Rattus norvegicus: one gene and its partner. The protein of the gene in region 1 interacts with the protein of each later gene in a pairwise test. Links are inferred from orthologs where the notes say so. Each region holds a gene or a part of one and is shown on either strand. Other genes may lie near its edges.

Region 1 (6,280 bases):
TTGGTTATCAGTTCCTCTGGGAACCTCGGACTGAGGTAAATGCCTTCACTGGGTTCTTCAAGTCTCTGCTCTTCACTGGTGCTGAGCCTACTCGTGTGCTTGCCAGACTGTGAGCAGCGGACACGAGGGGTTCAAACCCTCACCTGTGGGCTTCCAGAGCTTAGCCCGGGGCCAGCTGCACAGACCCATGATGGTCGCTTGACAAATGCACGCTTTACCCATCCACCTTCTTTCTGGTCTTTGTACATGCTGTGCCTCTGTCCACTTTGGGGCTTTGCACCTGAAGCTAGAAGCGTTCCTTCTCACCTAATCTCCTTTACCTCCAGTCCTCCCTCATCAGGCAACTCCCATTTTTCATGCACTGAAAAGCTGGTGGCTTCTCTATTTCCTGGGCACAATGAGATGAAAATGATGTGTCCCTGGTCTTGCAGTTGAGTGGCTATTGGGGAGATAGATGCACACGGATATATAAAGGAGTCGCATTACAGGCTTGGAAGGAAAGCCAGGAGCCTCACTTAAGAGCTCAGAGATGACACAGTAGGGAAGACCAAGCTTGGCCTTGAACCCTTGGGAACTTCTATGGAAGTGAGATGAGATTGAAGTTGAATAGGTGATGTGTCAGCCCTGGAGCAGGGCAGTATAGAAGCACAGGAAGTCAGGAGGAGAGTGACGTGAGATGAAGCTGGGCTATGTGCCTCGTGGTGGAGGCATCTTTATGAGTTACACTGGTGATTTTGAACTTCCAAAACAGAGGAGAGCCCCTGGTCAGAAAGTAAAGGCTAGAGCCTCATTTTCAGAAAGTCGCTCTGACTGGTGGGTCATAAAGGGTACAAAGGGTGGGGGAGCAGGGGGCTGCCGAGAAAGTGCTGCTAAAATCTGGGAAAAGAGACAGTGACAGCTGAGATTAGGGTAGTGGCAGCAGAAACTGGAAATAATAGATCTGCAATATGGTCAGGAGCAGAACACCAAGGACTTGGTGACTGGCTGAGGGAAAGAGAACAGGCAAATGTTTATTAAGTCTACCAGATAATTTAGTTGTTTAGTGTCCGCCCCATGTCTCGCCTGCATCCTTGATTTTGTCTCCCTAGGATGAAATGTCTGACAAGACAACCCATTAATGCTTATGGGATAGAGGGGGCTGTCCCTTTCTGGGAAGCTGGAGAGTACTCACCTTTGGGCATCTGGCTGGGAGATAGCATTGACAATGGCCTCCACGCTGCTGTCAAAGAGCTCCGAGTCCTGCAGAGCAGCAAAGGCGGCCTGAATGAGCGCCTCACAGTCCTGCAGGGGCACTTCCAGCTGCACCCAGCTGGAGAAGCACTTGAGCACCTTCTGACGCACACAGCTGGGAGAGCTGGGCTGTTGTAGCAATTGCTCCAGCAATGGGAAGACAGCCCCACACTCCACCGCCAGGCTGGCCCGTACCAGACCTTTGCGGTACTGGGGCAAGCGACTGGTCTGAAACTCCTCAGGCAGTACCGTCAGCAACTCTAGCAGGGCCAGACAACGGCCCTGGCTATCCACCGGAGAGTCCTCAGCTTGGAAGAGCCGGACCATATCTGCCACAGCACATGGCCAAGCGTCAGGCATCATACTGAGAGCCAGTGAGGCCAGCGCCACACATAGCCGAGTCAGCACAATTTTGGAGCCACTGGCAAAGCGGGTGATCTGGGTGAAGAGCTGCGCCTTTAGGCTTTCATACTGGTCGGTGGGGATGTCACTCCAATAGCGAGAGATCTTGATGTGCAGGGCACTGGCCCCAAAGTACTGGATCTCAGGCACCTTGTCTGGCTGTAGTAGCTGCCAGCTGAAATGCCAGGCCTGTGGAGAGACCTGGGCCTGCATCAGCCACTTCTGAGCCAGGTTCTTGTTCTCAATATTGGGGTCGTAGTAGAGCTGGTGCAGCGCCTGCAGGACAGCACAGGACTGAGCAGATGCTGGCTACTCTGGATCCTGCCAGAGCCCAGAACAGAGGGTGTGACTTGATCCTGCAAGATGCTGCCTCTCCCTGACTTGTGGGGAGAAGGAGCGAGCAGGAAGGGAGATCTTGGGGCTTGGCTGACCTTTTGAAAACCTGAATCTTGCCCATGCTCTATCATATTCTCATCTTATAGTGCCACTGGGTTCTGAGAGGGACTCTCCACTGGAAAGCAGAAAAAGTGGGGGCTGGGCTCTTCCCATAGGCAGGTATGTAAGGGCAAGGCCTAGGAGAAAGGAATGGCTTCACAGAGATAAACGTAAGCTAGAGACAAGTACAGAACAGCCTGGAGGGGGCTGGCCCTTCTAGATACAGCTCCTCCCATTGATTCCAACAAGCAAACTCCCATTGCTCCCCGAGGATCATCCCGAGGTCACTCGGAGGCTGGCACTAAAGCCAGTGTGAAATCTGAGAAGAACTGCTTCAGTCCAGGTAGCCCTGGAACAGATACACTAGAAGGGAGGGAAGGGAACGTCTTCAGAGAGTACAAGTAAGCCTCCAATCAGATGATGCAGAGAGGTCTTGGCCAGAAGCAGCCCAAGTAAGCGCCTACCCAGGAGCTGTCAGCAGCAGAATCCCCAGGGCCCAATTCCAATGAGACTTCATGCAGAGAGAAAACAATGGCTCATCTCCCTGGCAGCACATGAAGCCATGTGCCACCATGCCAACACTGTCCAGCCCCAAGGGCCAGGTTCCCCAAATGGACTCCATTCAACTAGGATTAACCAAATCTGTACCCCCCTGAAAGCCAGTTATGGCTACTGTCCCTGGTTCAGCCACTCAGGGATGCAAAAGGGGACAGGAGACAGACACAGAAGAGATGCTTTCTCAACATTTGTTAAGCAAACAAGCCTCAAGAACAGCAAATGTGTTTAAGGGTGCCCCTTGCTAACCAGCAAGGTATCCCTATCTCTCCGGCCATCCCTGGGAGTATGGGGGTGGGTTGGTGGGTGCATTCCTGCATTCCAGGCTGCTGGGAGAAGAATAGAATAAAATAAGATAGCCTGGGCAGTGGAGAAGTACGGAAGGAGGCCATGGCAGAAAGCCATGTGGGCAGGTAGGTAAGGAAGGAAGGGCCCTGTAAAGTTGCCAGCAGAGCCAAGCCCCTTGGACCCAGCACAAAGCAAGAGAGCCAGACACACTCCTGCCTGCCCAGGACCGGTTTGACTTCCATCCAATAAGGAAAAGACCCTTTCTGAAGATGAATGAAAAACTAAGTCAGACGGTTTTAGTTCCAGATATCTTTGTGTGCCTTTGACTGAAAAAAAGTGAGTCGGGTCCAGGACAGCTCAGCATCAGTGTGGTTTCTAAGGTGGGGGTGGGGGATGGCAGATCTTGTGAGTTCCTAAGTCTAAGCCCTTCGGCACCCTAACCCTTTAGGGTTTAACAATCTAAGATGCTAGAATATCTATCTGAAAGGGGACCTGCGTCTACAGAAAGCCAAAAATAGCCCATTAGGCACTGCAACACTGCTGTCCAAGAGAGACGGTAAATACCAGGTGCTCTGGGGGCATCATCCCAGCGGGCACTGAGCCCAGCCAGGCCTGAGCTCTGGCATTAGTGTCAGTCCCCAGAACTTCTGCTCTGTCACTGAAGTGCCCACCCCAAGGCCCTCATACCTTCTCCACGTTCTCCACAGTGAAGTCCAAGGCTGGTGCTGCTCCAGCCCCTGCAGCCCCCAGCTGCTCCTCCCGCCGCTCCATTTTTGCTCCCTGCCTGGCAGGGAGGTGGACCCTGATCTCTCTCTTGCCCCAGCCCTTTTGGCTGTCAGCCCCCTGCTAGACCCCGGCTTGAGTACCCAGGAAGCGATGGGATGAGGGGATGCCCAGGGCGGGCATGGCTGCCGAGGCCTGCCCACCTCCTTTGGTGGTAGTGGGGTGGGGGTGGGGGTTGCAGAGGTCAAAAGATGTGCTCTTCGGAGGGGATCCGCGCTAAGGCGGCTCCCAAAAGGGAGGCCTCAGTGAGGTGCTCTCAGACAAGGGTCCTAGTGGGAGGTCACGGCTCTGTCCCTTGAATCAAAAGTCATAGGGGAGGAAGGCCTACAGGGGAAACAGAGGCCCTGGCCCGTGAGGGGTCACAGGGTCAACGGCCTGTACCCATAACACCCTAGTCTGGATGAGCTTCTAGATGCTGTGAGGTCAGGGGGCTGGGAGATCACCCTGGAGAGAGCCCTTCGCGAGATACGGAGACATCCAAGGAAGCACAGGGTTGCAGTTTCGTGAGTCTGGGGCAGAGTCGGTAGAGTTGAGGGGCTGAGCTAGGTTCCCTCCGTTCTCCTGGCCCGCGATATGCTCGCCTCCCGGCTTTGGCCCCGCTATGGTCGCTGCCTCCGCCCCAGTGACTGACAGACGGGCCGGCCCGGCCGGGACGGGGCGGGGACCTCAGCAAGACGCGGGCTGACCGGAGCGCCTGTCCCCAGTACCACCAATTCAGGCCCCCACCCACGCCTGTCCTGGCCCGGCACGGCCAAGCACATCCAGGTTCGGCATGGCGGAACTGCGCGGAAACTCATTCCGGGTCTTTGGCCCTGTTCTCGTGCTAGCTCGCGCGCCCCGGAACAGGCGAAGGAACGGCACACCGCCAGGGGCCCCTGCCCGAAGCAAGGACCCGCCCCTATGCACCTTGGGAAACGTAGTTTCCGCCCGACCGGAAGGCGGCCGGTGAGGAGGGAGTCTCGGAGCACGTGGGTTGGGGTCCTATGGAGCCCTATCCTATTCTCGGCTTACGGCAGAGGACCATCTTGCTCAGTCACATTGCCTAGGAGTGCAACTCCTGCGAAGACATGATTCTTGGGATGCTTGTAGATGGAGTTGGAAGCCAAGAAAAGAGGGGAGAGGGTCAAGTACGGCCGGCGCTCAGGCATAGGGAACTGGTGGTTTTGATGAACTATCAGTACCCGCCAAAGAAGAAGAGATAGGAGTTACTTGGTGCCCCACAATTTAAGAAAAAAAAAAAAAAAAAAAGCACTATGGATCAGCTTGTGAGCAACCAGGAAATCATATCCGTTCGCGCGCGCGCGTTTGTGGGGTGTGTGTGTGTGTGTGTGTGTGTGTGTGTGTGTGTGTGTGTGTGTGTGTGTGTGTGTGGAGAGAGAGAGAGAGAGTTTAAGGGAGGGGAGGAGAAGGGAGGGGAGGAGAAATCGTAAGGTTTTCATTATATTTCACGCTGTGGTGGGTTGGTTTGTTTTGAGATGGAATCTCTTACCAGGGGTGGTGGTGCAAACCTTTAAACCCAACACTCCCGGGGATTACAGGAGTGTGTCACCAAACTGGGTGTCTGAGATGCTATGAATCTCACCTAAGCACTGTGCACCCTGTCAGCTGGACCACATCCTCCACCTTCTTTGTTTTCAAGTGGGGATCTCACAGGCTTGAGGTGGGTGTTTTTATTCATTGTCCTCAGCTAAAATGGAAAAGTCAAGGTTGGAGGAAGAAGGCAAGCCCCTGCTCCCAGCATGCACTTCTTCTGCCGCCTCAACTTTTCCTTTCATTGACTCCTGTCAGCAGGGAAGAAAATTATTTCAAATGGAAGGATCTTTCTTTTTGCTTTGATTTTTTCCTTTTTTCTTTTCTTTTCTTTTCTTTTTTTTTTTTTTTTTTTTTTTTAAGACTGGGTTTCTCTGTGAGTCCCTGGCTGTCTTGAAACTCTGGCTTCCAACTAACTGATACCCACCTGTCTGCTCCAGAGTGCTGGAATTAAAGGTATGCACCATCACTCCCAGCCTAAAACTTTTTTTTAGACTAAATTATATTAAATTTGATTTGGGTTTACTGTATGGCTTCTCCCTCCTTATTGACTAAACTTTTCCCAACACAGCCTGCCATACCATTAGGAGGAGCAAACATTTTGTAAACCTGGGGAGGAAACAGATTAAGACAAGGACTGGAGACAACCATACAGGACCTTACATGTGTCCTACCACACTAGGCTACACTTGTGCTCTAAGGGAGGAAGCTGGCGCTGGAAGGAGCCTCTGAGGCCAGAGAAGGTCGATGAACACTTCCCAAAGGAGAAGAAACTTGATAAGATCTTGAAGAATTCTCAAAGCCTGGGAAGGAGAATGACTCACTTAGCTGCTAAAAGAAGTCTATCCATCGAAACTAGTCAGCAAATCATTGCCCCCCCCCCAAAAAAAATTACAGTGTTTTTAAAAGAAGCCAATTGGATCCCTGTGAGTTTGAGACCAGCCTGGTCTACACAGTGAGTTCCAGGACAGCTAGAGCTATAAGACCCCGTCTCAAAAACAACAAAAGCCAAAACATTTTAAAGAACACTAGTGACTGCGAGTCTGCTTAAGGGACA
Region 2 (5,638 bases), on another chromosome or scaffold:
GGCCATGCCTCCTCCAGGGTGCTAAGTGCTCTCTAAGATGATTTCATTTTGTTTTATGTGCTTGGGTGCTTTGCCTGCATATGTGTGTGTGTGTGTGCGCGTGCGTGTGTATGTATGTATGCATGCATGCATGTATGCATACATGTAAACCATGTGCATGTCTGGTGCCCCTAGAGGTGGGAAGAGGGCATTGGATATCCTTTAACTAAAGTTACAGATGGCTGTGTGCTGCCATGTGGGTGCTGGGGATTGAACTCAGGTCCTCTAGAAAAGGACCTGCCCCCTCGGGACAGAGATTCTCTGTGTAGCCCTGGCTGTCCTGGAACTGTCTGTGTAGACCAGGTTATCCTTGATCCGCCTGCCATCTCCTGAGGGCTGGGATTAAAGGGATGCTCTGCCAGGCCCAGCCCTGTATTTTCTTTTTGAGATGAGGATCTAGCTGTGTTACCCAGAGGGAATGGGACCCTGGGTTCGAGTGACCTCCCTGTGTAGCTGGGACGCAGGCTACCCAACTGCTCGGCTCAAACGAAGAACAGACTTTCAGTGTGGATAAGTCAGGCGTCTGGGCACTGCTGAGAGGGAGTCGAGGACTCCGTAACTGGCAAGAAACTGTCTTCACAGGGAGACCCCACCTCAGCCTCAGCTCAGCTCCTCTTGGGGCTTCCTCAGCCTGAGGTGCCCTAACCATGTTTGCTTCCTTCCTCTTGATTTCTGAGGTGCACCTCATGGCCTACTCACTTGCACCCCAAATTCAAAACCTCAGTTAATGCGGCTGGCCACGTTAGTCCTGACACCTACTAGGGGATGTGACAAAGTGGGGTGGAGCTTCTAGAACTCAGTTGGTGGGGATGGTCCCAGGGCCCAGGTCACCCAGGAGACCCTGCAATGTGGCAAGGCCTTTGAACCTGGCTTACTTTGCTCTCTGGAGGACCTGGCACCAAAGACAAGGAGCCCCGGGCACGAGGGTGGGGTGGGTCTGCCTGTTATGCACACTGTCCCAGGTGCCCAAACACCCACACTGGCCGTCCTTCCCAGAGGGATAGCACTTCCCTCAGCTCTGGCCACATGAGGAGCAGGCAGCTGTGCCTGGATCCTCTATGACCCTGGGCTGAGGACAGTGCCTAAGGGCGGGACACTCACCCTTTCCAGCTGTGAAGCTAGGAGGGATAGGGCATGTGACAGGCTGTGGTGACTAATGTCAGTCTCAGTGTCCATCACCACTGGGTGGCAGAGGTAGAGGAGCTCTGCTCTTGTGACCCGAGACCTGGGCAGGCCCACTCTGCAGCTCACACTCCTTGCTCCAGGGCTCTGCCCCACCTTCCTGCCACTGCGCTGCTGCCTGAACTCACTCTGAAACCTTCAGGAATGCTCTCCTTGCACTCTGGCCTTTGCTCGCTCCCTCCTTTGCCTCGAATTCCAAGGAAGGCAAAGGTGATTGTTGCCAAGCCACAGGGTCAGGAATCTCACTCCCCCACGGGAGCTCATGCCACCCACTGCTCCTGCCGCAAACACGTCCTGGAGCCTGAGCTGCTTCAGTCTCCTAGAGCTCACACCGGTGCCTTGCGACACCATGACACTCTTACACTTCTCTGCAAGGAGAGGGAGCAGAGTCCCCACCAACATTCTAATTCACTGTGCACAGCTCAGACTGGAGCTGAGCCAGGTTGAGGCACATGACCAGCACTGCACATTGATTAACTTCCCCAGGAGTCCTCCCCACACAGTACCTTCCCAGGAGTCCTCCCCACACAGTAACTTCCTTGGTGTCCTCCCCACACAGTAACTTCCCAGGAGTCCTCCCCACACAGTAACTTCCCAGGAGTCCTCCCCACACAGTAACTTCCCAGGAGTCCTCCCCACACATTCAATAATTTTCCCAGGAGTCTTCCCTTCTCCCACATTAACTTACTTTCCTAGGAGTCCTCCCCCCACAGTAAGAGCTTCCTGGGGAGTCTTCATCATACATTAAGTAACTTCTCCAGCAATCCTCCTCAACATCGAGTAGTTCTCCAGGAGTTTGTCCTCATAAGACTTAACTTCCTCAGGGCAGGAGGGCTCACCTGGGACACTGTGATGCCACCCTTCCTGGCCAGCTCTTCCTTGGTCTCTTCACTGGGGTAAGGGTTGCTCAGATGGGAATAGAAGTATTCATTCAGCACCTCGGTGGCTTGCTTGCTGAAATTCCGCCGCTTGCGCCTACAGACAGAGATGCTCAGTCTGTAGCACTCTCATGGGGCAGAGTCACAACTCTCGTGTCCCTAATGTCCTGGCAGCCTATGTGTGTGTGCACGTGCAGGCCAGAGGCTGATGCGCTGTGTCCTCCGTCACTCTCCACCTTGCTTCTTTGAGGCAGGGTCTCTCACTGAACCTGGAGCCCAGTGATTGGGCAGACTGGAGAGCAGCAGGCCCCAGGGACCAGCCTTATCCATGTGGCCAGTGCCTGGCTGCAGCAGCTCTTGGCTTTAAAAGACCTGTATGTGTGAGTGAGTGTGCGAGAGTGTGTGCTTGTGTGCAAGATTGTGTGTGTGTGTGAGTGCATGCATGTGTGTGTGTGTGAATGTGTGTGTATGTGTGCATACTTCTGGTGTGGGAAGCCAGACCAGACCAACCAAGATTTTCACAGAGATCTGATGACAGAGAGCGCTAGTTCTGTGTACCTGCCCAGCTTGGCAAGGCCGGGCCAGTGCCTCAGAGAAGCCAAGGCTGCAGCTCTGGGGACCAGGCTGTTCCCCTGGGCTGTGGCTATTGGTCCTTAACCAGCCGTGTCTGAGAACCCTGTGTATTCTTTGCCAACACTGCCTGACTTTGCTCTCTCCCAGACTTCCATTTCCCCTCTGCAAATAGTAGATAGGGCAATATATTCCTGGACAAACCTGCTTAGCATAAGCCATCACTTATGCAGGGTCTCCTGGCCCCAACTATTGCTTATTCTCCTCTTGGCCCTGCCCCACTTGATACTTCACCGTTCAGGACCCTTATTCCTGCAGGTTCATGTCACTCTGGGGTCAAATTAAGGTCCTGAGACTTTTGCAGCAAGTTCCCTTACCCCCTGAACCATCTTGCTGGCCCATGCCTGGCTTTTTCTGTGGGTGCTGGGTATGCAAACTCAGGTCCTTCTGGTCGCATGGTGAGCACCTGACTGAGCGAGCTGCCTCCCCATCCTCATCTTCTGCAGTTTTAGACACAGCAATCGGGCTTGACATGCCTCAGTGGGTAATGAACATGTATGAAGACCTGAGTCTGGGTTCCCTGAACCCATGTGGGAGCCATACATGTTAGTGCATGTCTGTAGTTATGGGGCTCCTGGGGCAGGATGGGAAGTGGGCAGCTGGTCTGGAAGTCACAGTGGAAAACAAGAGAGAACCTGCCTCAAGCACGGTGGAAGAGGGACACCAGTACCCGAGGCTGTCCTCTGATGCCATTCACATACACAAATGAAAATGAACCAGCAGTCTGTACTTTGGGTCTTCTCCCAAAAAAGCTGTGTGGGGCCTGGCTGGATGCTCTGGACGGACTTAAACTCAAGACAGAGCGGGGCTGGGGCTCAGTGGTAGGGACAGCATGTGGTTAGCGCTTGCAAAGCCCTGAGTCCCATCTTCAGCAACACTATGACAAACTCCAGAGCCATCCCACTCCGATCCTGCTTCTGTTCCTAAGGGCCAACCCTTGGGGACCCCAGTGGCATGCAGCCCTGACCTGGCATCCAGGAACCGTGAGCGTAGGGTCATCACAGCCTCACAGGTGCTCTGTTTCAGCTGCCTCTGGATGGCACTGAACTTGCTGTGAATGGTGCTCACCATGTGCTCGATCTCCCCGGAGGACACGGGCCTCACCCTACTCTGTTCCCGGAGAAGGTTGGTGACGTGCGTGGTGAACTCACGACAGGCCTGGGGTGGGAAAAGATGGGCCAGTCTGTGACTCAGCAGCCAGGTGGTGCAGGGCAGTAAGGCTCCACAGCTGACCACATCTGCCACCCCCACAGCTCACACTCAGGTCACCTCTGAGGAGGGAAAGGCGCTTTCAGTGACACCAGCCGCCTCTGCAGCAACTCACTGCGGCGGGCTGTCCCTGCTCTGCACAGAGGAGGGGCTCGTGTCCACACCTGCCTGTGGCCAGTGCACATTCACATGACAAACTCTTGCGTGCAGAAAGATCACCTGTTCATACTTCTCTAGCTCTGAGTGGTAAATCTGTCGGATCTGGGACAGCTTGGCCCTGTAGTCTGAGTGTTCAATGCTATTGTCATTTGGGCAGCCACCTGGTGTTGCTGTGCTGCCTGCCGCTGCTCCTCCTCGTCCTCGCTTCTCTGGCCTGGACACACCCTCAGCCAGCAGCATGTTATCCAACCTCAGCAGCTGGGCATCGGGAGGGTCCTCTTCCTGCGTCTGGACGCTCACAGCTGGAGGGAACAGAGGCAGACCAGGATGTGCTCTCTGCAGAGAAAAGTGGCCAGGACCAAGTGGTACTGCACCATGGCTGGGCATCACTTAAAAATATTATGCATACGTGTGTGTGAGTGCAGGTGCCCTGGGAGTCCAGGAAGACCATGTCAGACCCCTAGAGCTGGGGTTCAAGGCAGCTGTGTGTGCCCAGAGTGGGTGCTGGGGACTGAATTCAGTCCTCTGCCAGTGCAGGAAATACGCAGGCCACCCTCCAGGTCCTTTATTACCATTGGATCAGGAACGCCTCGTGACCTACTGGGACGCCAATCCCAGTGCACAGTCCTGGTTGGGGGGAGGACCCTGAGACAGGGCAGCCTGTGTGGGCAGAACTGGACAACCATGTCAGAATACAACCGGGTGGGTTTCAGGGAAGGTGCCTTGTATTAAGAAAGCTTTGGGGGGTTGGGGATTTAGTTCAGTGGTAGAGCGCTTGCCTAGCGAACTCAAGGCCCTGGGTTCGGTCCCCAGCTCCTGAAACAAACAAACAAACAAAACAAAAAAAAAAAAAAAAAAAAAAAAAAAAGAAAGCTTTGAGTGAGCCGAGCATCCTAAGTGCTGGGGGAGGGGGCGCGCTGATGTGGGTGCAGAGGCAGAGGCAGGCGCTGAGCTGGTGGGACGGCTCAGTGGGTAGAGGAGCTCACTGCTAAGCCCCATGGACCCAATCCCCAGGGCGCACGTGGTGGAAGGAGAGCCAAGCCCTGCAACTCATCCTCAAAATACACATGCCTCTCCCTTCCCGCCTACAACATAAATACACGTGAAAAGATATTAAAGGCAAACAGCTTATCACGGGGACCAGGCACAGTATTGTATTGATGTTTCTACTAGGTGCCCGTGAGTGTCAATGTCTCCGTGAATCCGTGAATGTGTGTGTGTCCGTGTGGTGTGTGTGTGTGTGTGTGTGTGTGTGTGTGTGTGTGTGTGTGGTGGGGTGGCACTCGTCCAGTGAGCTGGCTCCTGTTCGTAATTCTGAGAGTGCACACACATGGTGCTGACATACATCCAGGCAAATACTAATACACATAAAATAAGAAATAAAATCTAAAATCACCCCCAACAAATAAATAAACATAGCCATCTTATAAAAGACTGGGCACTGTGGTGTACACCTTTATTCCAAGTCAGCTTGAGACACAGAACAGGCCAATGTCTTGACTTCAGGGCCAGCCTGGTCTATAAAATAAGTTCTAGGCCAG

The links.
Region 2: the proteins of Ipo13 (region 1) and Pbx4 interact in binary tests that used the Homo sapiens proteins (3 or more experiments, as listed by UniProt). The link is inferred for Rattus norvegicus from reciprocal best matches to the Homo sapiens genes IPO13 and PBX4.

The regions. Positions count from the first base shown.
Region 1 is NC_086023.1:136,735,158-136,741,437, forward strand, and holds the start of Ipo13 (importin-13), read right to left. Parts: upstream 4,322-6,280; 5' UTR 3,682-4,321; coding exon 3,598-3,681; intron 1,909-3,597; coding exon 1,172-1,908; intron 1-1,171. UniProt on the Homo sapiens protein: Functions in nuclear protein import as nuclear transport receptor. Serves as receptor for nuclear localization signals (NLS) in cargo substrates.
Region 2 is NC_086034.1:19,591,926-19,597,563, forward strand, and holds part of Pbx4 (pre-B-cell leukemia transcription factor 4), read right to left. Parts: intron 4,400-5,638; coding exon 4,158-4,399; intron 3,888-4,157; coding exon 3,697-3,887; intron 2,197-3,696; coding exon 2,061-2,196; intron 1-2,060.